3 linked regions of the Rhinolophus ferrumequinum genome follow. The protein of the gene in region 1 interacts with the protein of each later gene in a biochemical or structural test. Links are inferred from orthologs where the notes say so. Each region holds a gene or a part of one and is shown in the gene's direction. Other genes may lie near its edges.

Region 1 (9,695 bases):
AAATTAAAATCTTCTAAATCTCCTGAGAATTTACATTGTCTAAAGACTGATAAATGGTATCTCAGATAAAAAGGAGGAGCAAATGTCAGAGCCCCGATTGTACATGGCTGCTGTAGATAAGTGACTCGACTGGATGACTGGAAATACAACACATTAATTTTCCTAAATTCATCTGCAAAATGGTTAAATATCACTATTAATGCCAACATTATTTTGCTGAATCCTTGGGAAATAAAATTTTTGACATGATTTAAAATGTTTGCCTTAAAAAGTAATATACCAGAATTTTTAAATACCTGAGGTCTGTCAGTGGGACTAGTTTAAATATAGTGGGAGTAAAATGGGAATCAATTCATGTACGACCAACTCCCACTACCAGGCCTGTATTTCCTTCCCAATATAACAATCATAGTATGCAATTATGAACCTGGGAACAAAGGTCCCCTGGTTGGAAGAAAAGCAAATGTATTGGCAAATCTCAAATGAAATAAACAACTGAGCATTAATTACAAAAATTAAGTGCCATGGGACCAAACATCAATATTCTGAAGGAGTCCCTGTGGTTGGGGAAAACTGAACCAAGGCACAATCTTCTGTCCCTAGAAACTCCATATGGCTCAGACTGCATACGTATACTGTTGCAGAGCGGAGACCATGTGTTGTGTATCATTTTATCCCCAGCACTTAACAGAAGGTCTGGCACAAAATAAATACTCAATAAATGTTTGTGGAATGAATGAATCTGCAACTGTAGTTTATACAGTGTTATTCCAACTTCTTAAAATGTGGTTAAGAAACACATTTTACACCAACTCATGTTACACACAAATGCACATGCATGTATAACACAAACGTTATGAAGCAACACTTTCTTGAATTCGAGGTATGCTTTCTGATAGTTTCTGTTCTCTTTTGTTCCTCTTTATTTGACATAAAAAAAATGCTGGGTATGACCCATTAAACTGATTTAATAAGCCACCAATGGATCAAGGCCAATAGTTTAAAATACAGATTTATACATTTCAATTTATATGGCTTCTTATATTTATAGGCTTCAGTAACTATATATCACTTTTTTTTAAATGACAAAATTTTTGTATCTGGAAGGGAATTTAGAAAGTATTCAAACCAACTCTAAAATGTTGCACTGGTTATGAATTCCCTGCAGTGGGATTCCTTTTATCAGTGTTGTTTAATTCAAATTTCCCCCGCCGAAAGCAGATTGGCCCTACCTCACACCATACACAAACTTTAACTCAAAATGGATCACAGACCTAAATGTAAGAGTTAAACCTATAAAACTCTTAGAAGAACACCTAGGAATAAATTTCCATAGCTTTAGGTTACGCACTGATATGCCATTCAGAGAAAAAATAGATAAATTAGATTTCACCGAAACTGAAAACTCTTTTGCTTCAGAAAACTCTTGCTTTAGATGACTCCATGGAGAAAAAAAGAATTACAGGACGGAAGAAAATATTTGCAAATTAAATACCTGATAAGGGACTTGTATGTAGAATATACTATAAATAACTCTTATAAATTAGCAACAAAAAGACAAATAACCCAATTTAAAAATGGGCAAAGGATTTGAATAGATGTTTCTTCAGAGGATACACAAATGGCCAATAAGCACAAGAAAAGATGCTTGTATAACTAGTCATTAGGAAAATGCAAATCAAGACCATAATGAGATACCATTTCACACCCATTAAGTTAGCTAAAATAAAAAGACAACAGTGTTGACAGAGATACGGAGAAATTGAAACCTTCATACATTGCTGCTGGAAATGTAAAATGTTACAGCCACTTTGGAAAACAGACTGGCAGTTTTTTAAAAACTAAACATAAAGTTACCATATGACTCAGAAATTATGCAATGAGGTATATGCCCAAGAGAAATGAAAAATATATGCATACGAAATCTTGGACGTGAATGTTCATAGCTGCATTGTTCCTAATAGCCAAAGAGTGTAAACAACCCAAATATTCATCAACGGATGGATGAATAAACAGAATGTGATATATTCATACAGTAGAATAGCACTTGGCCATAAAAGGAATTGAAATACTGATACATGCTACTACTACATAGGTGAGCCTCAAAACATTGTGCTAAGTGAAAGAAGCCAGTCACAAAAGACCTTGTGTGATTCCATTTATATGAATTGTCCAAAATAGATAAGTCTATAGAGACAGAAATAAATGAGTGGTTGCCTAGGGTTAGGGGGGGAGTAGGAGGTTTCTTCTGGGGTGATGAAAATGTTCTAAAATTAGATGATAGTGATGGTGGAACAACTCTGTCAATAAAGTAAAAATCATTGCATTGTACATTTAAAATGTATAGTATTTAAATTTTAGATTTTGTATATTATATCTCAATAAAGCTGTTATTAAAAAAAAAAAAAGAGCAGATCGGAACTCTGGAATGATCAAGAAATAGGATGCATGCAGCACTTCCAGGCCTGAAGGTAGAATGCTGAGCCACCTCAACCTGACTACCTAAATTGCAGGCAAAGAAACAGCGTTTTTCAGTGGTCAATAAAATGGTTTTCTTTGAAGTCCCTATAATAGAATCGTGGCCCTTAGCCTCTTATTTTAGGGGATGAGTGGAAAGATACACACCTATTGATTTAAGCTCTGAACTTTCTTTGAAATGATACTCATCCTCACAAAAAATTCCTTCAAACTACAAATGAAGGCATTCTGCATTAGAGAGCAAAGAACTAGGTAGGCATCCCCAACAAATTAAGATGCTAAAGGACTAGAGAGCATCCTGGGCAAGTAATTGATACGGTTCTTGAAATCAGGGATTTTATTCTCCTTTGGGAGGGCCAGGCCGAGAACAGGATGTGTAGTAAATGCAATTGTTAGAAGGCAAAGAAAGTAAGGCCTCAGGTCCGGAAGACCAGAGGCTTTCTGATTGGGCATCTGTCAACCCCCCTTTGAATGGGTCCTGATGGAGAAAGCAGCAGGAGAAGACGCTGCCCACGGTCTACCCTGCAGATTTATGACGCAGCATGCCCCTGACTACTTCTCAAACTTGAAAACTTGACGTCCCCACACCTAGCGTCTCACCGCTACCCCATGTGTCCGAGTCCCTTCGTGTAAGGAACACTGTTAAAATAATTCAAGAAATTATGTTAATGAGTTTAAGAAATACTTTTAATGATTAAAGCTAAAACTCTGTCACGTTGACTAATGAATACCAGTTTGAATTACAAATGAAAAAGGGGGGCTCTGAAAGTGTGCAGCACCATTAGGATATCAGATAAAAACCAGGTGATCGTAAGTATGCTTTTAACTACTTTTTGTCAAGAATGTCATGGAAAAGAGCAATTGCGGGGCGAGTGGGAATCTCGCAGAGCACTCTGCGAAAGGCGAGACACACTGGCCTGGAGAGGGCGGGCGGGCTCCAGAACCCCACATCCCGGGCTCTACTCTAACGTGACCCGGGGCATCTTTCTGAGCTTCGCCCGGGGCCCTTCTCTGTAAAATGGGACCATTCGGGGCCGCCTCCCAGCGGTGATTGTGAGGAACAAACCGGGCTGGGCGCCGAGTAGGCGCTCAGAAAAGGCAGCCTCGGAGGCGAGGGGCCCTACTGTGCGCCAGGGCGCGGGTGCCGCGGGCCGCTCCCTCCCCGCTCGCCCGCCGCCCACACCCCGCGCCCGCCCCTGGCCCCGCTCGGCCTCGGGCAGGCGGAGCCGACCGCACTCCAGGCCCCTGCGGAGCAGCCGCCTGGGGCGCTCGGTCAGCCGCCGGGACACTAGAGCGGGGCGCCACGCCGCCGCCGCCGCCGCAGGTCAGAATCAGGGTGCCCGGGGGCGCTCCGGCCCACGGGGCCTCGGGGCGGGAGATGCGGGGCGAGGGGAATCGGGGGAAGGCGGCGCGCAGAGGGGTCCGGGACCGAGGAGGGTCTATCTATGCTGAGAGCTGGCGGGGGCTGAGGGCTCGCTCAGAGGGGACCCGGACGGACTGAAGGGTCGCCGCTGAAGGGGTCTCTGGCTGAGGGGTCGTGGGCAGAGGGGTCACGGTCCGCGGGGACAGGGGCTGACAGGTCCGGAGCTGAGGACTGAGCCCCGAGAAGTCCCGGCGCAGCGCGAGCAAACGCGGCGGTGGAGGGCAAGGGCTGCACGCGAGGCGCGCCAGAGAGCGGCGGTCCAGCCCCAGGAGACGCGAGCCCTCGAGTCCTGCGCTGCCCTGGGTGGAGGTCCTAGAGGACCCGGGACCTCCGATCACCGGAGGAGGTGCTCAGGCTTCCGGGAGCGGCTCGCGGGGGACATTGGGGTAGAAACGCGGGATCCCGTGCGTGGCCGTCTGGCGGCCGTGGAGTCCTCTTGCTGGGTCTGCAGAACCCAGGCGGCGATCGCTGTGTAGGGTCGTAGTGACAGTTAAGCGAGGGACGCCCTTGGAGTCACCCAGCCCGGTGCCCTTAAGCTCTCTGCTGACTCTGAGCCGAGTGGAGGGGTGGGGGTGTGGGCTGGAGCCCCCAGGGTCGTCGGGGATGGAAAGTGCGGCTCCCTCTCATCCCCTGTTGGGAAAGCGAGTGTTAGCGTGTTGCAGGCCCCCACTCGTCCGCACAAGCTTTACTACTGCACTTGTAGCCTAACCGAGGTAGGTAATCATGGTCCCTCAGTGTAGGGGGTGCAAGGTGGGTGTGTAGTCGTGGTACTTTATGCCTTGGTATTTGGGGAGGAGCCTAAGGTAAGGAGGCAGAAACTGGGAGTAACCTATCTGCTGCTTTTATATAAGGTCAGTTAGGTAAAGAAGGGGCCTTTACCTCTGCTGGTGAATCAGAAGGCTGCATTTCTAAATTCTTCTTAACTCCCAGTGCTTAGGTGAGTCGGCTCACTGTAACTGCATTTTGCTGAAATGTTTTGGTGATGTATCCAAAATGTGCAAGATAACGTTGATGGTTAATTACATTATAGCGTTATTATTTTGCTGTGCTCTTGCTTTACGGTGAGAATCTAATTCACTTGAGTTTGAGGATAATGGTTGGAAAAATGAAAAATTATTTCAGGAGAATAAAGTAAAACAGCAGTGTGTCATGAAGAAGCTAAAGTTTTTCTTCTTTTCCTCCTTTTAAGCTTGGGGACAAAATGTAAAATTAATTTGTGTAAATTATCATCTGAAAACAAAACCGAGCAAGATGATGAACTGAGTTGTGTGAAACCTATTGCTGGAGAAACTCGATTTTGAAGTACAATTTTAATGTTAGGTGTTTTAATCATTCATGAAACAAATTGTAATGAGTTATTGGGAGAACAATAACCAGCTTACTTTTTAAAGGACCTGAGTAGATTTGTTCGACGGATCTCAGGTGTTCTGTGGCAGTCTTTCTTGTTTAGGGCTAAGTGTTCAATTCCTGGCTGAAAGTAGAACCAACCTGATGGTGCTAAATGAGTTAGAAAACCCTCTGGTATAGAGAATAACATAGACACTCACTGTGGCTTCTCTCTTAAAAAAATACCTTCCACTCCTATGCAAGTTTTATAGAAAATACTCATAGATACTCCCAGTTAGCATGTGGAGTGCTATTTCAAAAGATCCTATTCAAGTTTTAAAACAATTTTTGTGTTGTCTATTTTTCAATCAGATTCACTCTGGAGGTTATATATGTTCCATAGGATTCTTTAATATACAATATTTTAAAACTAATGTGTTAGCCAAGCAATGAAGTCTGTTACAAAACCATCCATTTTTGTCTTACTTTGTACTTCATATAATTTTTCTTCTTTATTTAAATTTCATGATATCTGATACTCCGCTTGCTGATAATTATATCTTAAAATAAAACACCTTAAAATTAACTAGTGACTGCTCAGCCTTTTCTTACTGGAAGAAAAATAACGTGATTTAATTTTTAAATCAAAACTCTTTTTCATATTTAAGTTGGTTTGTAGCTTTTGCAATAACTATTGTAAAAGCATGGCATCAGTGAAGTATAAAGGTTGGAGAATTTCAAGCTAAGTTTTTTGGTCATGGTTTTTTCATTCTTAAATTTAAAAGAATATAATTTCTTTTTTAAATTAAAACTGCAGCTAGTATTTTAAATAAATACACTATTTTCTTTGAAGAGACTAGTTTCCTTACTGTTCATTTCTTTGTATATTTCAGACTTACATTTAAAAGATAAATGATCATTTTTAAAAATCACAATGTTAATTTCAAAATCCCTGTGACATAAAATTATATTATCCCTATATATTAAAATTTGTACAAGAGAAAAAGTGTTACTGTAGGAATTTGCATTAGAAATGCACTGCTGATCATGGCTAATTGCTTTTAATTAGTAAGTAATATGACTATAAGCAAATACATATTTTCTCTCCTCTGTAATTCTCTGAAAATAAGGATGCTTGCCACTAACTTTAATTATCAAGATAATCATGCATGTAATAGCAGTGTGAAAGGCACTGCTATGAAAACATATGCAAGTATTAATAATGCATTTCGTTTTTAAATTGTGAAGCGGTTGTTAATAACTGGAGACTTTCGTGAAATAGGAAAAAAATGTTAAAATAATACATTACAAATGTCTTATATATTCTGGCCCATACTTTTGTTTCTTTCGTAGGCTCTACATATGCCCAATGAATAGAACAGAAAATGTTAGTCATTCTAATTTGTGAGTGTTTTGCTGAATTCATTGTCACTTGAATTTGGAAATATAATATATATCATAGGTGCGGCAAATGTACTGGAACAAGTTTTTGGTCTCATAGGATTCCACTAAATAAATATTAGTTGTAGAGGATGTTTTTTGAATCACTAATCAAGAGCATTTAAGACACCAGTCTATAAGCATAAACATACGCCCCTCCTCGCCTTAAAAACTGTTAAACTGAATTTCTAATTTACTTTTCTTATTTTTTCCTAGCAAATTCCCACGTAAGGGTAGTTGACTCTTGAGCTGTTCCTTTCTCTCTCTTAAGACTAAAAAGTAACAAAAAGAGCAGCGATGTAAAATGCTGACAAAGGTCCTTTAAAACTGATCGATTTGACTTCACAAAAGTACAGTAAGATCTGTGAATAACCATCTTGCAAGCGTAGATAGCACCAACATATCATACTTCAGTTAGTTTCATAGCATTCTAGATAAAAATTTTAAATTTAAGATTATTTGTAATCTTCCTGGGGGTTTCTTATTTACTATTTGTATTTTATCACAAGACAGATGTAGATTTGGGGGAGTTATATGGCATATGTTTTAAGCTTATTTAATAAAAATATCATGTTTTAATTTTTATTTACCTAAAATACTTAAGTAGGTTCTTGTAAGGAAATCCGCTCAAATACAATAGGCCATATTTTGGGCGAAATTTTTGTAGATACTAAGACAACAACTATCACCAATAATAGTATATACTTAAATTATTTTTTATTTTAAAAATGGGTTCATGTAATCTTAATGTTTTTCTTCAACAATGCGCACCAGTATTTTAATACTAAATATTTAATTCAGTATATGAGTGTGTTTACATTTTTAATTGTTTCAGTTATTATAGCGGGGCAAGTCTCTAATCCTTTCTAACTCTCCATTTCATCATCTGTGAAATGGGAAAAGTATTGCAGTTACTGTTCTGTGCTTTTTTGTTTTTTGTATGATTTTTAAGACTTGATCAGCAACCTGTGTATCTTAAATGATATGACGTTGGCCCTGAATTTAATTGAGCAGATATTTTAGAGAACCTTCATAGTTGTCTGCATTATATATAAGTAACTCTTTTACAACTGTTAATAGTTCACCCTAGCACTAATTTTGAGATTATTCTTAAGAGTGAACTGAAGATAATGCTTGCCCTGTGGTGATCAATTTATAAAATGCTTCTGGAAATATTTCATTGTTATTTGATTTTAAATTGTCATCATTCCCTGATGACTTTGGATAAAAATCCGCCTAGTAATTATTTTTGGTTTATTGATATTATGTTTGCAAGTCCTATAGTAGACATAACGTGGACCCTCTTGTGTCAGTATTGTATGTCTAATGTGTCTAGAAGACACGGATTGTGCTTTTTTATATATATAAAGTTCTATTCTGTGCATATATTTATTCTGCACCCTCTGAGTATATATTATAATTTATCCGGGAGCAAGTTTGTTGTATAATGAGGGCTGTGATCCTTTAGATCGAAATATAGTTTAGTATTACAGCCTAAAAAACTTAATAGTGACTTATGCTTGTGGTAAAAACTGGGTGTCTTTCTAACAAGCTGTAACCAAAAAATAGGCTTTTAGTGGCTTGCAACGTGAGTATGCCCCTAATAACCCATCAATTTACTAGTAGAGAGTAATTAGGAAAGCATATAGTTAACCATGCATCATAAATTTTAAATTCTCCATATGAATTGTTAATATGTTTATTATGAATTGTCTCCTGTGCAAGAAAGTAAGGGACGTGTTTCCAGGCCAGAATTCCATTACGTTCCTGGAATATAGAGCTATAAAGCTCAAGTGGGATCATAATTAAAAGGAAGGGGAAACAGAGAGTAAAGAAAGGCATAGAGCAGTGACTACAGGTGAATGTCCATTTTTCTGTGGCTTCCCTTTGGGGTAGGGAGTGGGGAGAGGCATTAACTTCTACTCCCTGAATGGTATAGGTTGGGCTTTTCTCAGTCATTGCTGTACCCTCAGGTATTCCAGTGACCAGGCCCATTCTCAACTTGGAAATCTGTTTGTGGACAGAGTGCAATGAGTTTCCTTACCCTACTACGATTTCTCAGATATAAAGGAAAGAGATGAAGTCATCAATTCATGCAACATGAATCAATTAAAATAGAAATTTAAAACCTTGTGGTCAGAATTTAAACTAGACCATATAATGGTTTAGTTCGGTTGGATTCAGTATCTGTTTAGGAAACATTTTTATTCCACTGCATTGATTTTAGAAAACAAATTCATTGCCAGTTTTAACTTAGTTTTGTTTTTTTGGAAACTAATTTGTGGACTCGTCTAGGAGAATTATAATATGTAGATAAGGCTTTTTGAGACAAATTTTCTGACCTTCTGGGAAGAGTTCAGATTAGTACAAACTTGGGGTGAGAAGTCCTTCACAGTTTACCACAGATAAGGAGGCAGATATGAGGGAGGTAGAAAAATAGGGAAATACCCTGAGTAGGAGTTTAAGAATCTCTGTATGCTCAACTCCCACTATCAGCAGGTTACATAGTTACTGTGCATAGACCTAAAATATAAGGTTGGTTTCTAAGAATTCATCTTGCTCCTTGGTGACATCATAGAATTTTAGATTAGCTTTAAATTTAAAATTTGCCACTTTGCACCGGTATTCTCTCTGGCTCTCTAAGTTGCCTTTGGGAAAGTGAATGGAAAGAGAATATTCTCATCCTGTATGTTTAAGGAATAAACTTTCCTTTATAGTGAAGGCAAGGGGGAAACATACCTGTCAGACTGCCAGAGTGCAATGATGAAATGCTGGAAAGAACCCCTTAACCTTGACCCCGCCCCCCGCCCTTCACCCCCACCCCCCACTGGCTGTCATTCCACCTTTAAAACTGCCATTGTCATTTAGGTTTGGAGTCTACTTTCAAGATGCCAACACTTCTAGCAAAGTTAATTCTTTAAATCACCATCAGCAAAAATTTGAGAGGTTAGTTCCTAGTTTCCTTGCTACCTGAAAACAAGGCCTTTAAGGAATGGAAAACACATTTGGAGTTTGAAAGAGAGGATCA
Region 2 (10,408 bases), on another chromosome or scaffold:
AGTACAAATGTGGAAATGAATTCTACTATCAAATGAAATATTTCTTGAAAAGTAGAAACTGCTCTGCTATTTCCGTGCTTTATGTTGGTTTATACCTTTTTTAGAAGTTATTTCTCAGGAAAAAACCATGTCATCATTTTCACAGTCCTTTAAGTCTTCTACTTTGGTTCACTCATTCATGTCTCCCTTACTTACCCCTTTCTCACAGTGTCATGGATCTATGGAGTCTCTTTCCAGCTCCCCGTTACTATACTTTTCTTTCCTTCATTTGTTCCCTTATTATCTTTCTTGTTTTCACTCTCTTTTATGTTTCTCGGGCCTCTTATTCACTTACTCTTGATCTATTGAGTTTTTCGTTGCTCCCCCCGCCCCGCCTTTTCCCCCTCTGCAATCCCTAACCTCATAAGGAAACCCAATAAATATGCCTCCACATAACAAGCAGAATACTAAAATGTGGGGCTTTTCTCTGCTTCTAGATATTCTCAGAACAGTCTGCACAGGTATAGCTTCCAGTCCTTAAGTGGACTCACTCCAACTGTCCATAAAGGTAGTATGTTGAACAGACTCATGAATCAATATTTAGTTTACAGGACACTTCATTACTTCTGTCCTTCAAACAAGGGAAAAATATACCTCTGCTCCTGTCATTCCCCAACCCTTACATGACTTCTTTTCCTCTGAATGTAATGTTCTGAAAACATTATTTACTCAGAAGAAAAAAACGATTGCAGAGTGGAGGTGGTGAGAGAAAAGGAAAATCACCAGCAAACATCTGTCCTGGACCTTCCTCTTTTGCAGATGGCTCACAAGAGCCAAACATTTGAGGGGGAAAAAGCTATAACTGAGGCAGATGGTTGGAATGGAACATAGGGTGATAGGACTACAGCAGGAGGAAGAAAGCTCTAGATTTTTGGCTTCCGTAAAATTTGGGAACTATTAAGGGAATACAGAGTAGAAGAGATGGTTATTAGCCGAAAGGAATTACAATCTAGTAGGAGAAATGACAGGCCCTTTGTGTTGGGTGTCCCCAAGACCGCCCTCAGTTTTTGTGATTTGCTAGAAGGACTCACAAAATTTAGAAAGTTTTCCCACTCCTACTTACAGTTTAGTACAACAAAAGGATACAGATCAGTATCAGCAAAGAAAAAAGGTGCAGAGGCCAAGTTGAGGAGAAACCAGGAGCAAAGCTTCTAGTTGTCCATTTCCAATAGAGTCTTACAAACAGCATTTAATTCTCCCAGCAACAATATGTAACAGCCCAGAAACAGTGTTCCCAACCAAGGAAAGTCATCCAAGCCTTGGCATTCAGGACTTAAATTGATGGTCGGTCACATAGGTATACAGCACCCATGGGATCGACCTTAGCTACTCAGTCTTCAGTTCCCCAGAGATAAAAATGACACTGCATGGCAAGAGACTCAGGTATACAAAAAACTGGTGTTAGCCATAAGACATGCCTTCATTAGCATAAACCACCTGGTCAAATGATGGAGTGTGGCCCAAAGCCTCAAACGTCCCAAAACTCTCTTATCAGGTAGGATAAATGTTCAGAGACTATCAGTTAGTCAAGGGCCAGTTCTTTCTTTGGAATGTGCAGGGTTTGAGTAATCCAAGCTCACTGAGTTAATCCTTTAGTGTACCCCAAAATAGTATGTAGGCTATTAACATTAATTAAAAAAAAAATTGAAAAAAACGAAACAAAAAAACCCTGAAGTTTTTATCTTCCTGATAGCAGAAAGCTTCATCTAGTCATATTCTTAATTACTTTAGGTTTTGTTTCCATTTTTGTTTTTTTGTTTTGGTCATCATTTCAGGTTTTAAATCAATCAATACAGCATTCATTCTCCCTTCTCTCTAGACCCAATTTGCAGATCCAAGGGTTAAATAGTATCATGGCATAGGCGGGAAAGTGTACAGAGCATATAAAATATACTATCAACGAGGTTGTTGTTGGATTGAGGTTTGCAAAACAAGTTGCTTCCTAGTAGGAATATGGCCGCACATGTGTGAGCCTGATAAGAATGAAGTGAAAAACATGTTTTTGTGTGAAACTGAGTATCACAAAATCGAGTGATAAAAGCGTTCACCAAAACAACTTCTCGTTATTACTGAAGAGGTAAACAACTCCTGGCAAACAACTTCTGGTTATCACCTAAGAAGTAAATAAGTCCAAGGGAAAGGATAAAGGCAGAACTCCAGAGCAATGCCAGGAGAAGCCCAACTGGGCGCTCCGGCTAAGACCCTCTGCGAGGTGCAAGCTGCGATACCGGAACTCTCCGAAGTTCTTTCTTTGCAAACAAGACCAACTTGACTCAGACCTGTCGTGGGCCCAGTCGTCTCTCCCAGACCAGGGACCTTCTCCATCTCGATTGACTCTGTGACTTGGTTCGTTATTAAATTCTATTCTGTCTTGTATAAACTATGGTGCTTGCCAGAGCATTGGCCTCTGGAGGGACATTGGCTCCCAAATAAAGCTGTGTTACTCACTCTGTCTGAACCTGTGTGTCAAGACTTTGTTCCCCACTTACGTCATGAGTACCATGCAGGGACATAGGGCCCTGCTGAGGGGTTCATGTCCCCTTGACTTTTAGGAAGAGACTGAAATATGGCAATTGCCCTTTCAGGTGCTCGCGACAGAAAGACACTGGATTCTTGGGCATCCTTGGTTCATGGTGGCATACACAGAATGTGCCTTACCTGCATTGGTTCTTGACTGCTGGCATCTCTGTGGAAGCTATTGAGATAATGAGACAGTCTTTGGTCCCTGCACACTGCATCCTTCTTTTCCTAACAATGAAGCCTCAAATCATCCAGGCCTTTCTGCTACTACTAAAGCTACAGGGATCTTTTCCTTGTTCCTGTAAAGCCATAGGAAACTGGGTGAAGGAGTTATCTCAAACCCTTCTTGCTAGACGTGCATCACAGCCTCTGAGAGGTCTACTCAAAAATGGTTTCGTTAAACTCCCCTGGAAGTTCTAAAATTTCTATCCATTACTACCTTTTGAGTGGTGGGCATGAGGAATTCTCACTAGACTCGAATGCTCTTGTTCTCCTTCTCTTCCAGTATGGTCAACTCTTATCTCTGCTCTCAGAGGTGGTTGTAGAGGTGATGGTGATGAAGTTTAGAAAAAGGCAAACCATCCAAAAGGCTGAAGCTTAGAATGGGTATGGAAAACAGTGATGATCCAGACAGGAAGATCAGATAGGGATGAAATGTAGAGAGACTTGGATGCAGTGGGGAGCCATAGAAATTATGGAACAAGAGAGGGGAATATATTGAGAGCTGTAATTAAGGAAGAATAATCTATTGGTAGATCTCTGCGAAAGTTTTACAACACACTTGGGAGAATGACAATATCTAGATAAGAAAATCACACAAGTAAAATAATCTAAAATAATAAATTCGTTTTCTAGACTTAAAAAAAAAACAGAAGCCATATGTATTTGAACAAAGTAAAACATACAATTGTTTTAATTACCTGAGACTAGGAAGTCTAAGAATATGGAAGATAATTTTCTCTAAAACTGATTATCCATGATGACTAAGAAACTAAACTAGTGGGCTGTATCAAATTACATGGAAATCTCTCAAAACAAGCCTCCCCAGTTCACCTCTTATTCTTTCCTTATCCACTACTGTCATCTGCGGGAATAAAGAGCACTTGTCTTTAGTCTGTGTGAATCCTGTATACTACCTCTGTAATGAATTATTAACATATTAAAATCATTAATTTGTAATACAGAATTTGCTTTCATAGTATATGAAGATTTTCAAAGTGCAGCTAGAAAAAGATAGGGTGGAGAATGAATACTGGAGAAGAAGTGATGAACTTTGTCTGGGATGGTTTAGAGGGAGAATAGGTAAGTCTGAATTTTGGGGGAAGGGCATTCTAAAACAAAGGGAAAAGCACATGCAAACCAGGAGGCATTAAAATTAAAGCATGAGAATACTGGGAACTTCAGATTGAGAGATGTATAGGGATGAAATCATGGAGGGATAGGTAAGAAACTTCGGATAGGTCTCTGTTTCTTTAAGGGTAGTCTTGGAGCACCCAGATCACAATTATGAGATGCTACTAAAATTGAATATGGGATGGGCCCAAAGAACCAGCTCTTAAGCAAACTTGCTTGGTGAATTTCATGCAAACTAAAGTCTAAGAAACTAGTACCATACAAAATGAATAGCCCTTGAATATCATTAAGGAGAACTTTGCTCTGAAGGCTTTTGGAAAATGGATTTTATGACCTGTCTGGTAAAGAGTCTGGTAGGAGAGGAATAATTTGGGAAGGTACTGAGGTCTTGTGGGAGGGCTAGGAAGCCTAGAGTTTGCCCCCGCCTCCCACCATGCCATTTTTTCTTTCAAGATCTTTTCAACTTTAAGTTTTTCTGATCCCATACCACTCCCTCAAAGGTCCAGCATCACTTCATTTGTACTTAAAGAATGGCACTTCCATACAATTTTTTTACAGTCTTGTGTATACAAAAGCTTTGTTTCTCCTAACCCGTTTCTATACTTCAAGCTCCTTAAAAGTTTGGCCATTTTTTGAAAATATGTGTAACTTCTAATGTAACTGTGTGTGTGGGGGGGGTTGGAGAATGAAAACAAAAATATTGAAGTTATGAATTATTTGGACATAAATATTGAGTTTTATTTTTATTTTTGGAATGATGCCATATTTGTGCAATAAAGACATTTGCAAACAATTTTTATATATTAAGTCCTTGGAAAATGAACCCTTTTATTCACTTAAAAAGCAAATCATTGACTTTAAAAATCAATTTTCATTGGCGAAATCCTTACAAAATTTCTGACTTGCAATAGAACCTTCCCCCTTATTCTTCATGCTCCATCATTCATCATAGAGATGAGTACCTTCAGGTGGCAAAATCCATGCTGCCTCTACGGTATCGTTTTTTCACATTTTCACAATTCTTTCCTTGTTTGCTCTTCACTATCTCTACTTCACCATCCTTTGACCCTCCCACCATATTTATGCCTTCTACAGGACCCCGGTCTCCAGTAGTAAAACGAGAGTTTTCGAAGCAGTTACTTAATTAACGCGCATACACGGTAGAGCCCCGCCCCGTAGGAGGAGCCAACACAGGAGGACCGAATTAGATGGTCGGTCGTTAACAAATGAACCCTCAATATTTTCAGAGGAGCTACACGCACACAAAGGCCCAATCAGAGGCCGCGGTTCCAGGATTTTGAGGGGCGGGGCTTCACAAGAGCCCTCCCACCTCCCAGCCTCCCGCCGGGACCGTCGGAGCCTCGCGGGCATCGGCTGGCCCCGCCCCCTGGCCTGGCGCGGCGGCTATTGGGCGGCGAGCTCCCTGCCGTCGTCTCAGTTGCTGGGAGAGAGGGCGAGGGCGGGGGCGGATCCGGAGGTGGGTCGGGGGCTCAAGAGAAAAGCGGGGAGGCGAGGGCGGGCTGGGCGGATTCGAAGATCGCCGCGGCGGTTGGCGAAGCGGACGGAGCACGTCCTCCGCGGTGCGAGGAACGGTCCCTGCTGACTGATCCCCTTCTTCCGGCCGCGCCACCCGGGAGGCGGATCCCCGGGGCCTGAGGAGGCTTCCTCGGCCCGGCCCTCTCGCCCTCCCTCTCCCACGGGTCACCCGAGCGGCCTGTGACGACGAGGAGAAGGAGGAGGAGAAGGAGGAGGAGGTCGTCGGGGGCGGCAGCGGGCGGAGACCGCGCTCCCCCTTCGGCGGCGGCGGGGGCAGGACAATGGAGGTGGCTGTGGAGAAGGCAGCGACGGCGGCCGTGGCGGCTTCGGCGGCGGCCGCCGGGGGGCCCTCGGCGACGCCGAGCGGGGAGAACGAGGCCGAGAGTCGGCAGGGCCCGGACTCGGAGCGCGGAGGCGAGGCGGCCCGGCTCAACCTGTTGGACACTTGCGCCGTGTGCCACCAGAATATCCAGAGCCGGGCGCCCAAGCTGCTGCCCTGCTTGCACTCCTTCTGCCAGCGCTGCCTGCCCGCTCCCCAGCGCTACCTCATGCTGCCCGCGCCCATGTTGGGCTCGGCCGAGACCCCACCGCCAGTCCCTGGCCCCGGCTCGCCGGCCAGCGGCTCCTCGCGGTTCGCTACCCAAGGTGAGAGGCGGGCGCGGGGGAGCCCAGGGAGGGCGTCGGGGAGACGGGCGCCCTTGTGCTGCGCGACTCGCTGTCATGTCGCCGCCGCCAGGGGTGCGCGACGGGGGAGGGGCGAGAAGGAGGGTCTGTGTTGGCGGCGGTGACATGGAGGGCCCGCGCTCGCTCTGCGGCGTGCCGCGCGCCCCGCGAGCAACTTCCACGGGCGCCGTGGACTTGTCCGCGCTGCTGCTCCTGCCCCTCGGCATTCCCCTCCAGGGTTGGGTGGCCCACGCGACCCGCACTTTTGAAAACCTCTGTCGGAGTTTGCTGTAGTCTGTATCTCGGGTTCTTTGCCAGCTGCATCTAGTTAACGGCTACCCTCTGCCTCCCCCAAAGCTTTGTCCAGGTGCATACGATCCTAATCATCTCGTCTACACGCACGTTTTTCTGAGCTGGAGTGGGGAGGCAGGGATGAAGATGAAGTGATGGTGACTTTCTTTGATGACTGATTACAGATCAGTTGCCGTCTATTTTCTGTCTTGTATGTTTCGTGTTCTTTACCTTCCTAAGAACCCAGTTCTCTTCCCCTCTGCTGTGGACAAAGGAACTAAGAGGCGGTGTTTTGTTGTCTTTCTCTTTCGAAGATTTTATTTTTGAAACGGTAAAAGGTAAAGAGAAATAGAACAACGTGATTTGGGATGCAGGATTTTTCTTGTATTTTGTAGACAGCAGCTGGAAATGTTGAAGTTACTGTTCTCTTTGTGGTGTTTGTTTCTGTATAACAAGACTTTTGACAGGTAGTTCCCATTGGTAACGTTAACAGGTTTGAAACATTTAAAGTTAGTCAAAGTAAGCACAGTAATTCTTTTTCTTGTAGAATACTTGAGGTTTTTAAATTTTAGTATTGCAAATATTTGAGCTCCTTCTCTTAAAAATACAAAGTAACTGGAAAAGGTGGGATTATTCATTTCTAATATTTGCTTCCTTTTTAGAGGGACTAGTAGATTTGAGATAAAATGCTAATTAAATAATTGAGCTAAGTCAAAGGGTATGTGAAATTAATTAATGCTTTAAATAAATGGTCGTGTTAGACTCCTCATTTAATTATATGCTAGAAACAGTATCTAGTGGAGGGAGACAATTTTCCATGGGTCTTTCTCTGTTTCTGCAGGTCCTGCCAGTGGTTACTGCCCTTTGTTTGTATTTTTAAGGGATGTTTGTGTAAGGAACAGTCTTAGAAGAGTGTCTTCCATCAGAGCAAAGAGCAGGCATGCATATGGTCCAGTGGAATACAAATAAATGTCTCCTTCTGGAGTAAAAGGCAGGCATGCTTACTGCTCATCATAAAAGATTGGGGTTCCCTAAGCTTAGGTTTCCTCTCATGTAACAACCCATTGCCTGTGCAGGTGTCAACTGCCTCTCTTCACCTTGCCTGGTAAGAGCTGGGACTCTGGGAACCAGTGCAAAAATGTTGGTGCTTTGGCTTACGCTATTATTGTAAGTAATAAAATGCCCTTTGTCTGTGACTCCTGAGTCTCGTGTTTTCTACTAGCATCCGTGGTAAGCTACTTTGTTAGCTTGTGGTAGGGAGGATAAAATCTCAGATCCTTCATACTATTAGTTTGGTGCAAAAGTAATTGGTTTAAAAGGTTAAAAAAATAATTGCAAAAACCGTAATTACTTTTGCACCACCCTAATAGTTTGCTCAGATGTGGCCCACCTGTTGGAAAGTTAGTACAAGTGAAACATCTTAGTTCTTAATTTTTAGACACATTTTAAGGTTTCTTATATTGCTATTTTAAATGGTTAAACAGGCAACTAGCCAATTAGGATCTGAATTTTGCATAATTCTAGAATTAAGATATATTGTGTGCCTGGCCATGACATGCAGACCTGAAGGAATGAGAATTTGGATAATAAAATCTCTGATCCTCAATTCTGAGACAAGTTTGTAATTCCAGATTTCTCAAAATGTTCTATATAATCCCAGTCCCCAACTCTTTTTTATCTTTGTATTTGTATTGTAAGCAAGAGTTCAAGGAAAGCATTTAAATTGGAAGATAAATGTTTTTGTGTACTAAGAAAAAGCATTAACAAATGATACTTGCACATACACCTCAAAAAAGTTAGGGTCATTTGCAATAAATTGAAAATATTTTCCTGAGTCTTATTGACTGGGATATTTTCTCCCCTCTCTCCCTGCAAACTTATTTTAATACCAGCCGAAACAAAAGTTTAGACAATACATTTTAGAACTAAATAGATAGGGTTCATTTGATCATCTGTTCCTCATTCTCCTAATGAGCTTGTGGGTACAGGCATCATGGATCAAACTACAATACCTACAGGGGCTAAGCTGGTAATTGAGATGGAGAACTAGGAGCCTGGGGTTAAAATAATGGGGAGTGGGGGCCGGGGGCAAACTAGGCTCTCACGGATTCTCATGTGAGTGCAGGGCCAGTGTTGAAGGATCTTTTTTTTTTTTTTAACTTTTATTATGAGAAGTCTGAAGTCTGGATTTTTGTGTAAAATTTCTCTAGAAATTTAGATCTTGGCAGGTAATTAAAAAACCCACACAGGGCCCATTCTATAGACCAACAAAACAAAACAAACAGAAGAAACCAGTTTGGTTTAGGCCACATACCATGCTGCAGTTACAGTCTTCCCTTTTAGATTTAGATAGGGGTTTTCAAATTTTAGCTCTTCTAGAATCACCTGGTATACTTGTTAAAAATTGATTTCTAGGCGCCTCTCCCCAGAGAGCCCGATTTGGCAAAGATACAGAATTCTAGAGTATAACAGTAAACCCCAGTGTTTCTTTAGTTCAAGCAGTATTACATTCAAAAATACAGGTGATCGTAAAAGGATTCTTTAGAAAATTAAGACGGAAATTCAAAGCGTAGCGTAGTAGTTCTCAACACTATCAGACCTAGTGTCCCTTTCTAGTATGTACTTTTTGGTGTTCCCTGTATTATCCTAAATGAAATTTATAGAAAAGAAATTCTTAACACATTTAAATATCAAAATCAACACAATGCTTTAACTTTTAAGAAAGAAAGCTAATTTGTAACAAAAAAGTATTATAATTTATAAATGCTCAGACGCAATTACACTAGCCACCATGCCCCCATTGAGAACGTTGGTCTTGTTGACTGGCCAAATAATTCTCCAGATAATCCTCCAAAAGAAAACGGTTTATTTGGAAAAAAGAAAAAGGAACAGAACCGAGGAGTGCATGCACACTTGCCAGCAGGGCTTGCCCACTGGCCACCCACGTGGGAAGAAGAGATGAGCCCAACATGGCGCCCCTCTTTATTCGCATTCCCCGCTCCTTCCCCGGAGGTTACCATAGAGTTCAACAGGAAGTCAAGACGAGACAGTTAACAAAGGGCCCATCTCCGTCCTTAGTCCTCCCAACTCTATGGTTAAGCGACTTAAGATGTCAGTTCACTTTCAACAGTGTAAACTGCCCTTTTCTAAGGCTACCATTTGGAAGGAATGAGGGTGAGGGACCACAAGCTAAAGTTGGATGACTACCTCAGCCCTTGTCATTTTCTTAGCATGCAGTTACATCCAGGAAAGAGGGGAGAGCTTAGAAAACAGATTTTCTTTAGGTACATTATAGATACATATAGCTACATTATAGATGATAACATAGATTTTCTTTAGGTACGTATAGATCAGGAGACAACCTGATCTTGGAGAAATGTTAGAACATTGTGCAATATTCTGTGGTGGTGATGTACCGTTCAGCCAAAGAGTAGCAAATTACTAAGAGCTATTTTTAAAAAACGCTTTCTAAAGCATACTTTTGAAAGGGGTCACATTATTTTTCAAGACAGTATAAGAGAATCCATCAGTTTTCTTAGGCTACTACTTGGCAGTCTATAAGATAAGTAACTGTCAGTTCTGAGAGCTGATTTCTTTTGGTTCTTGGCAAAAAATATAAATCATTTTATGAGTACAAGATACAATGACAAAGGATTAATAGTATTTAAGGTTGATTCATATTATCTATATCAGTTTTATACACAACAGTTTTATATACACTATTCACCTGTTCATGGAAATACTGTTGTTTTCAGTTTGGGGCTGCCACGAATAAAATTGTTCTAAATATTTGTAGGTAAGTGTTCGTGTGGATATGTTTTTGTTTTCTTCAGTAAATACTTAGAACTGAAATTTCTTTTTGTGTCATAAATGTGTTTACATAGGTTGTACTACACTTTGCGTTCCCTCCAGCCATGTATGAGAGTTCAAGTTGGTTCATATCCTCGCCAATTTGGGTGGCGGTAATCTTTAACTTTTGCCATTCTAGTATGCATGAAGGAGTATC
Region 3 (10,061 bases), on another chromosome or scaffold:
TCCTATAGTTGGAATCATACAGTATGTAGCCTTTTCCAATTGGCTCCTTTCACTTAGTAATATGCATTTGAGTTTCCTCTATGTCTTTTCAGGGCTTGATAGCTCATTTCTCTTTAATGCTAAATAAGATCCCATTATCTGATGTATCGCAGTTTATTTACCCATTCACCTACTGAAGGACATCTTGGTTGCTTCCAAGTTTTGGCAATTATGAGTAAAGCTGTTAGAAACATCCGAGTGCAGATTTTTGTGTGGACGTAAGTTTTCAAAATCTTTCCGTAAATACCAAGGAGCTTAGTTAATGAATTGTATGGTAACAATATGTTTAGTTTTGTAAGAAACCAACTGTCATCCAAAGTTGCTGTACTATGTTGCATCCCAACAGCAATGAAGGAAAATTCCTGTTGCTCTCCATCCTTGCCAGCATTTGATGTGGTCAGCGTTGAAGATTTTGGCCGTTCTAATAGGTGTGTATCATTGTTGTTTTCATTTGCATTTCCCTGATGACATATGATGTGGAGCATCTTTTCACATGCTTATTTGCCATTTGTCTATCTCTTTTAGTGAAGTGTCTGTTAAAGTGTCTTCAGCCCATTTTTTTAATCAGGTGGGTTTGTTTTCTTATTGTTGAGTTTTAAGCATTCTTTTAGTATTTCTATATTTTGTTCTTTGTATATTTTGGGCAACAGGCGTTTATCAGATGTGACTTTTGCAAATCTTTTCTCCTCGTCTGTGACTTCTTTTCATTCTTTTGACTTGAGATATTTTTCACAGTTTTAATATAAATGAAGATACTAATTTTTACTGCATTGTCCGCCTGTGACTCTACCTTTTTATTTTGTCTCTATTGTATGGAAAGGCTCCTGATCATCTCTGAAATTTGAAATTGCTTCTTAGAAGTAGGTGCAAGGATCTAACTATATCATCTGGTATGGTTGTAGCCACAGATTTACCAATTTAATACATATTATTGAAATACACTTAAATATGTATTTTATTAAGGAATTTTATGTTTAACTTATATGTACCTGGGTCACATGATCCATGAATTTCAGTTAGGCTAGTAAAGGGGGGTATTACAAATCCTTTGCCACAGTCAAGTGGTGTTGGGTCTGACCGGATGAAGAATGCTCTAATTGTCCGTCAGGATCCAGTGTTTTCCCTTCATACTCTGCCACCCTCAGTATGTCAGTGTCGCTGCTCTTGGTATCACAAGCAAACACTGTGGCATCTAAATAAGGTCCGATTGATCCAATATCTCAAAGAGTTTTCTAGTAAACTGTGTTCCATTCTGCTACTCAGAAACTACGGTAACTATTACTTAATCTAAATATGCACATACGAGTCCTACTGACTCAGTGATCTAGGGAAGGTTGTAAATTGGAGATTTAAGCTCAGTAGTTGGTCTATTTCTCTTTTCCTAAAAGGGGATGGAGAATCGAATTCAGAAGCGTATGGAATCCATGTAAGTGCTATTCAGGAAATTGCTTACTTCCTAGAAAAAAAAAAAGAATTCGCTTTTCTTTTCATTTTTTTTAGTATTTGCTATTCTTTATTGAAACACATTTTGTTGAATAATTCAACTTGCTTTATTTTGTCATATGAACAATTTTTTTCTAAGAAATTTAATTTTATAGTTTAGTGAACATTGAGCACAACTAAAACTGATTTGTCATAATAATTTGTTTTCTTTACATGAAAATATAAGGGAACTGAAATTTCTCTTAAAGAAATTAGTGTTTTGGAACTGGCTCATCAGGACAGTACCTCAACCATGGTTTACAAGCATAAATGCCTTCAGGGGGCAGGTGGTAATTGAATGAGAGAATGGGACCCAGGGGAGGGGGCTGTGGCTAAGTGGAAAGTGCATGTTTATTTATGGGTGGCAGCCACCACTCAGCTCTGATCAGTAGTTGCCATATTGGAATTGGGCCCAGAGTTGCCAGATCTTTTGATTTTTTTTTTTTTAAGAAAAAATCAAATGTCTGATCTGTGAAATTCCTGACTTTTAATATTGGTGCAGCTTAAAAGGAAGAAACAAATAAACAAAACAACACTTATGTGAGCCAAACCAAACACAATTGTGGGAGATACTTGTTCTGTGAACTGCCACTTACAACCTCTCAACTAGCCCATCTGTTCAGACTGAAGAGTGCAATAACTGGTGAATAGCACCACTTACCACTGTTTGTGCTGTGAGGAAACAGGGCGGTTCTCTACAGAAATGGTTGTAAACGTAACTGAATGGACTTGAACTTCACTCTATTCATTTGTCAATTAGTATTGGGATATTAGCTAACTGTTGTATAACCACAAGTCATTTTAGATTTTAGATTGGTGCTCCATTGCTCAAACATTAAGGATTTAGGATAGAAGACAGGAAAAAGTCAGAGGTGTGAACTCAGGAAGTTTGATTAAAGGATCCAACACACCTGCACCAAGCCTCAGGCAGAGAAGCAAGTGTCTTGCCTTCTATCTTTTGGATTGTGACACATACACACATGCTTCCTCTCCCTTGCATGGGACATGGCCACATTCTTTCATTCTTTGTGACCCAAGCAGACTTCCTCTAAACATCAAATTCCTTATTCCCTCTTCCTAACCATCTGTGATTGTTTTAACATGGCTGTTACCTCCCCTCCTGTACCTCTCCAAGTGCATGGCTGAACTTTAAACTCTTCCCTAGCACTACCAAACGTCCTCTTATATAAAAATGTTGTTATTATAATCAGATAGTGAAATGTTAACCTCCCAAATAAAATTCTTCAAAACTAGGAAAATAATAGAAAGGTGCTTTAAGCATAATCTCTGTTTACTTTTGAAAACAGTTTTGTATGTGGACAGTTTTACTTTGCATTAGTTCTTATTCAAAATAGTTGCTTATCACTAGTTGAGAAATTCTCAGGGTCTTTGAATACTGAAATTACAAATCAGTAAACTGTGGTGGAATGTTTTAAGTTGGTCTATACACAAATGATCTTCTCTCTAATCAAGCATCATCTGTTCTATCGTGTCATTCCATTTAGATCAAATTCGGAGCTTAAAACTATAAAATTTAAATAATGTAGACTCCACTAATTTAGGAGCTGTAGTAATTCAGAGGTAATTTGAGTGAAATTTGTTGCCTGCATAATCTCTGAGGACATATTACTCACATAAACCAGGATATATGCTTAGCCCAGTTAAAAACTATTATTTTTAAACTCCATTTCAATTGCAAACTCACATAGACAACAATGAATCACTGAATGCAAATAATTCTTAGGCAAGATAATCTCTGAATTTGTATGAAAAAATACCTGTAGTAGGTCATACTTGGCAATGTTACCTTTGTGATCTTGGACAAACCACTAAAACATCTTTAAACCTTCTTTTCTCATGTATAGAGGTAGCACCTCATTATAAAGGTTGTTAGGAGAATTAAATGAAAAGGCTACGTATTATTATTTTTTTTAGTGACCTATTCAAGGACTAGACTCCAGATCTTCAACTAGAACTTCCAGATGTTCTAGTTTATTTTGGTTGAAGGAGTCAGAATAATAAAGAAAAGATTTGGAACCTAAGGACAAGTGAATTTTGTTTAAAGATGTTTTTAAGACATTTTATAGTATTTTTTTGTCAATATCATTAAGTTTGTGTTTCTCTTCACAAACTCACTGGCAAGGCATAAAAAGGGGGGACTATAGAAATAGGGCGAATTCACTGAATCTAACTTTACACATTTCAGAGCTGAAATGTTCTTAGTTGATAAATATTTATCTCTTAAGTAAATGTCTCCCTACTCCAGCATTAGTAATTAATACCTGCAAATAGAGAAATGCCTAAATCTACAAAAGAGACAAATTGCCTGTGAATCTAACAGACAGTGCTAAGTGCAATCACTTCTTTTTGGGATGGTCCTATAAACTTGACATTACATAGATATTGAACGACTCATACAGTAAGCAGCTTTTAAAATAAAGTACATTTCTGGGACCATAGAGTTGCAGCATATTATTAATTTAGTAGGTAATATGCTGACATATTTGATTAATTATAGTGTAAACAAATTCCATTTTTCCTGATGTTAAAAAAAATGTATCTATTTAAAGACCTGAAGAAAGAAGCTAGAGAGGAAAAGATTATCCACGATTAACGCTGACCTGTCTGGATTTTGGAGTACCTCTTTGGTCTAGTCTGAAGTATTTCTGATTGTAGTACTTTTAAAAAAAAAAAAAAAAAAAGAAGTTCTGATTTTAGAGACAAAGGATGAAGAGGGTGTGAGGATTTTTAGAAACGTCTCTCCCTCCCTCCATCTTCACCAAGAACTAAGTTTTATTTGCTCTTTAGCCTGTTTGTTTTCCTATTTTTTTTAAAAAAAATGTAACAACTCAGCTAGATTTTTATTTGAGTTCGCTGTAAGCAGAATTGGATTATTTGTATTTCTGTTCCCAAACACCACGCAGTTTCCTTTATTTGCTGATTGTGGTATGCTGTTACTCAGCCTATGGGGAAGCCACTCTGTGAAGCGCATTTTAATATTTAGATCAAAAAGTGGTTGGAATACATTAATGCCCAGTGGGTAAATGTGTCATTTGAAAGCAGCTGCTGAGCCTTCTCCCTGCTGCTCCAATTAACACATACCGCACACTTTTGTCAGTAAGAGGCAGTGCGTATGGATGAAACCACTTTGCGCTCATTAGTACGATATGCGCCACAGAGCACAAAGGGTTAATCCGTCCGCCCATTGCAAAACAACAGCTTTCCAAGAAGCTCCCCCAAGCACTGCACTTTGCTTCCACGGGTGCTAGAGGAGGGGGTGGGATTAGCAGGTACGAAAAAGTCCGTTGGGTCTCTAGCTTTGGTTCAGTCCATTTACTAGTACATTTCCCCGCCCCTCTCTTCTGCACCCGCGCCCCTGACGATGGAGATGTTGGATAGTGAAATTCTAGTGCTGGGACTTCTCCCCCCTCAGCTGAATCTCTTGTTGAACTTTGTTCTGTTTTGTTTGGAAGCTGTTTGAAGCCCAAAGCTTCGCTGTTTATTTTTTCTCTTAGTCTTTCTTTTCATTTTACTCTCTCTCTCTCTCTTTTCTTTTTAAATTGCACATTTGGACAGTGTACTGCACAAAATAAGAAATCTGGTCAAGACAAACCCATATCGCTCTTATTTTTACCCCCTCCCATGGCTAAAATCTCCGCGCTGATGGTAGCACAGGCAGATGGAAGGGTAGCGCTTCCCAGCCCCAGGTTCGGTGTTGGCCATTCATGCTCCACCAGTTCCCCCAGCAGCTGAGCTGAGCCAGGCTGCACCGGCAGGGAGAGATGGACCGCTTCCTGGGTTTCGTCAAGCAAATAAGAAGATCTAGGAGAAGAAAGGGGAAAAAGTACCGACCAGAAGAGGATTACCACGAGGGCTATGAGGATGTCTATTATTACGCTTCGGAGCATTTTCGAAGTAAGCGCTCCCCTCCACCCTCCGGTTCCTTCTCTCTTGCTGGGGCTAACAATAAACCTTGTGTGGAGCTTTAATCTTAAATGCAAAAGGTTTCCAGATGGTATTGTTGGTAAGCAGTCTGTAAGTACTGAATGCTGCATTTTGATGATTTGTTGCAAGAATAGCCATCAGATAGCATCTAGACAATATAACTAGGAGGTCTATACACATGATGAGTATTTCAGGTGCGATTAATTGATTATGTTACCATTTTTTAATGAGCCATTCACACATTTATCTTGCAAGCCAATGTAGTATGTGGCTAAATGTAGTAGGTGGTTCTGTCGGAGTTGTTTTCAAGTAACTGCTTTTTTGTTCTTTCAGAATAGGGAAGGCTAGCTTATTTGGAAGAAATACTTGTTCATGTTAAAGTTGATACTGATGATTAATGCTCCTGATACAGATTTCCAGACAGTTATCTGTGATTACTCTTAGGTGTTGTTTGTACAAGGAAGTTGAAATGCTTTCCTCTGATGCATGTTTATAATTTTGTTATTAAATTAAGGGAACTCTTTATTTGCTGTCAGTTAGAGCAGTGATACCTGTCGAATAAAATAGTATATCCATCTGAAGACATTTGTCAATTAGCTTCTAAATAGCAGAGAACTAGAATTTTCCTTGTTCTTATCAGTCCTTTAAGTTTCAGTGAGGTTTACACTTGTCATAGATTTAAAATGCCCAGAAATGCCTCAGGGTGCGGAGAGAAAGCAGTGACCACAGAGATCACTGAGTTTACGAGGTGCCCTAAAATCGGGGAACTGACAGTTATGTCTGATCTACATTTACAAAATTAAAAATTATTTTTAATCTTCTTGAATAAGGATCTTTATAAACTTGTATTTCAATTCTAATTCTCCATGGTGTTTTGATGTCTAATTGTAATATATCCCATTTACAGCTTCTGAGCGTTGACTAATAAATAATTTAGAATTCATTTCTGTGGTATTGAAATACATGAGTATTAGGTCTAAATGCCAGAAATGCTGCTGTGATGGATGAAAATTGAGAGTTGAAAAGTCATGTGGTGGCAACAACACAACAATTCAAAATTATAATTCTTTGCTTCAATAATATGGCTATGTGGCTTTTACAGAGTAATCTGAGTTTTAGAGATGTTTCTTTTCTGCAATGAGTTTGACGCAAATAATCTGCTCTAATGTAGTGACAGTCTGTGTTTCGTAAATTTAGTTTTCATAATATATTCAAGAATTTAAGATCTTGATCTTGTCACATCAAAAAATACTGTCAGCTTGCAAGCATAATTCTGAAAACCTGGAGATAAAAAAAAGAAACTTGGGAACTTTTAATTATGTTGATGCTCATTGTACAAATTTCTTACAACATATATATATACATATATATGTGTGTATATATATATGTATATATATATACACACATATATATAATGAGTCAAATTCATATCTTCTTGCGTTTCCACTGTGATGTGTTTGTACAAATAGAATTTTTAAAACTCTCTCTCAAATGCTTGCACCCTACTAGTTTTGGTAAAAATTTAAAAACAACAGAGATACTTCATAAGGGTACAAAATGTGCCTACAAGAAAAAATGTTTATGGAGATACGTAAAGAAACATCCCCAAACTAGAGTTTGGAGAATGATACAGCTAAGGCAGGAGTCTTTATACATCAAATGCAGTAACGTAAAGAGAGTCATCATGTCTTAATTTATCTGATTTGTCAAAGTCATGCTAAAGATAAGATGCTAACATCAAATGTTATTTCCTTTAGATGCAAAACTGACATGTTCTTGCCTGTGATTTATCAGAAAGCACCCATATGTAATATATAACTCTATGGAGTTAGATACATGTTGAGTTGCCAACTTCAAAAGGCTATATAGTAAACAGAGTATGTCACAATGGATGCAGGTACTTGGAATTTGGCATTTTATCAAGTGTTAAATAGCCAGGGCTTTTAAAGAAGACATGTCATGTAACATAATGACCTCTCAGTGCATCTATTCATTTCAGTTTCAGGGACTCGCTGAATTGGACAGGGGAGATATCCACTTATATTTTATGGCCGTAGAAAAGTATTAAAGGGTGAGACTGATCCTTAAAACCAATCCTCTCAAATGGGTACTATGGTTTAATCCAATTACATTTATGGTGGTGTATCTATTTTAATTAGTCTTTGGCATAATTTGAACGTTTATGCTCTATATTTCCCAGATGCCTTAGAAAAACTATTTACATTAAGGTTTAAGACTCGGTGGAATTTACTGATGACATTCACGTCTTAGTTAATGGTGCTATTGATAAACCAGAAGTGTCATTGCTCTTATTTTTCTCCCTACATTGTTTGTTTCTTGAAAGAAACTTAACTCTCTGTCTTGTCAGTTTATCCAGTGGTTCAGATTACCACAAGCACTTTATACATGTAACAATGAAAGACTGAGCTAGAAAGACCTCAGAAAATTCACCAGTAAGTATGCCCTTCGTTTAGTACCTTCTCAAGTGCTTACTGAAATTTAATTTGATCTCTAAATAATGTCTCCTCTGTGGTGGGTTCTGATTTAGAAGTTCACCTTCCTTTTCTTCATCTTAAATACAACATGCTTAATAATCTCCGGAAATGCCAAAGCCTGAATTAAAATGTCATTGGGTCTGATCCTATGAAAGTGAAGTTCTTCTAAATATGGATGATTTTTCGGTAACTCCATCAAAACCGAGTTTTAAATAGTGGTGATGATGGCAGACTGATTTTTAAATATTCCCAGATTTTATATGGACTTGATGTATATCATTGTGCATGGGATGACTACTCTTTGATTTTTCAAAAACCTGCTTACATCACTCATCTATCCTTTCATAGTTCTAGAGTTAGGGCTTAATTAAACTAGAGAACTGCTTTGGGCAAATTTCCAAACATTTCTGGGTTTTCACAGGAAATGAAATTAATTCTCAAGCTTTCTAACTTCTAGAACTAAACTTTGTTTTGTTTCTGAAACAATTAGATAAACATATTGGCTGAAGGATTGTAACTGGGATGTAAGCCAACAAATTCACCTGGTTATCCAGAGGGAACTATTTTTCTGTCAGGAGTTGTCAGTAGGGAAATTTCTGTTCCTTTCTGATAATAATTTATCATTGAATATTAAGGAGTTTGGGAGGATGTTTATAAACCCATGAAATTCTGAACATGTTGGTAAATCCTAGACTTCATCTTTTATGATGTTATCTGCCAAGAAGCACCATTTACTCTGAAATTCTCACATAGATGAGTCAGTTGGTATTTTTCCTTAAGAAAAACTGACACAGATTTACAAAACTGATTCAAATGTAACAAAAAGCTCAGAAAGGATCCTGAAATTCAATTTTATTATGTTTGATGCTTTTATTTGTTTTTAACTAAATACTGTGTTATAGCCATGTTTTTTTAAAGATTCTGGCAGATCGTATTTTGATTCATCTGTTACATAAAAAAAAAAAAAAACCCTCTTGACCCTATTTTATGTATATTTTTATTTAGCCACACCTGATAATATTCAAGTTATAAAACAGATAATGTACATTCTATAAGTGTACTCTTAGCATTCTTTATATCTATGATAGAAATCCTAACCTGCTATGGTCCATGCAGGGCTTTGAATTACTAAAAAGGGAGGAATATGTTTATCTCTTAGGAATAGGAATATGTGAGTCGCTTTCACTTAGGGTCCTGGCACCTTTTGCATGTGTGTAATGATTGAATTAGGCATGGAGTTCCTCCATGCTAATCGCCCTTCTCAGTTTTCTTCCTGACTCACCTAGGTGAGAGGAAAGTTGTGCGGGGAAAAGCTGCTAGGGCAGTCATTAGTGACCCATTCTTTCACCTTTCCTACTGAAGTCCTTTCAGGGAAACTAGGGAAAGGGGGGATCGTGAATATATGGTTTAGACCTTTTGAGAAAAGGTCATTTGTATTTGCAAATTATTTTATTGTTTTGTTGCTTGCCTATTCTAATAGATAAGTGAGCAACAATTGTAATGTGTATGTATAAAAACATCGTTAGCTAAGTTACTTTGTTAAACAATGCATGCATGTAAATCCCTAGTTAGCCAATTTAGGCTTTAAAGTGCCTGAGATGTTCAAATTGCATTTTAAGAGGGATGCTCACTTTCTTTTATTTCACTGAAAAACACCCTGCATTGTTCTTCTTGGAGAAGAAACAATTTGGCAGAAGGTGTATGTAGTGTGAGAATTTTTAGGAATTGGTGTGGGTAATTAGTTCAAGTAATTTCTTCTCACTAGTTCCTTTAACAACATTTTGTTTTTGTTTTTGTAAATTCATGTAACCACATCCTCTCTACTTCCCGGAATTGACATCTAATTAGGATTTTTCTCTCTTGATAAGCATGCCAAAAGGATAGAGTGAGGACTCTTACGTGTACTCTAGAGAGATGGTTATTCCTTGCTCCTATGTGTTCAAAAGCTTAACACACACAATCAAAGGGGCTATTTCCTTCCGGGAGGAAAAGAGAGAAAGGGAAGGAGAGAAGGCAGGCTCATTTCAAAGGTTATCCTTACCCTCCAAGGTCTAATGGCATAAAAGCCATTTATTTCTATGTTTAAAACAGTGATCATCA

What was found. The genes of interacting proteins can lie anywhere in the genome.
Region 2: the proteins of PPARG (region 1) and TRIM24 interact in a test that uses a peptide from one of them, tested with the Homo sapiens proteins (2 studies listed by BioGRID). The link is inferred for Rhinolophus ferrumequinum from reciprocal best matches to the Homo sapiens genes PPARG and TRIM24.
Region 3: the proteins of PPARG (region 1) and GRIP1 form a complex in vitro, tested with the Homo sapiens proteins (2 studies listed by BioGRID). The link is inferred for Rhinolophus ferrumequinum from reciprocal best matches to the Homo sapiens genes PPARG and GRIP1.

What each region holds. Positions count from the first base shown.
Region 1 is NC_046300.1:42,143,566-42,153,260, reverse strand, and holds the start of PPARG (peroxisome proliferator-activated receptor gamma), read left to right. Parts: upstream 1-4,772; 5' UTR 4,773-4,838; intron 4,839-9,695. UniProt on the Homo sapiens protein: Nuclear receptor that binds peroxisome proliferators such as hypolipidemic drugs and fatty acids.
Region 2 is NC_046309.1:10,566,340-10,576,747, reverse strand, and holds the start of TRIM24 (transcription intermediary factor 1-alpha), read left to right. Parts: upstream 1-5,440; 5' UTR 5,441-5,729; coding exon 5,730-6,093; intron 6,094-10,408. UniProt on the Homo sapiens protein: Transcriptional coactivator that interacts with numerous nuclear receptors and coactivators and modulates the transcription of target genes.
Region 3 is NC_046293.1:63,340,329-63,350,389, reverse strand, and holds the start of GRIP1 (glutamate receptor-interacting protein 1), read left to right. Parts: upstream 1-5,093; 5' UTR 5,094-5,303; coding exon 5,304-5,436; intron 5,437-10,061. UniProt on the Homo sapiens protein: May play a role as a localized scaffold for the assembly of a multiprotein signaling complex and as mediator of the trafficking of its binding partners at specific subcellular location in neurons.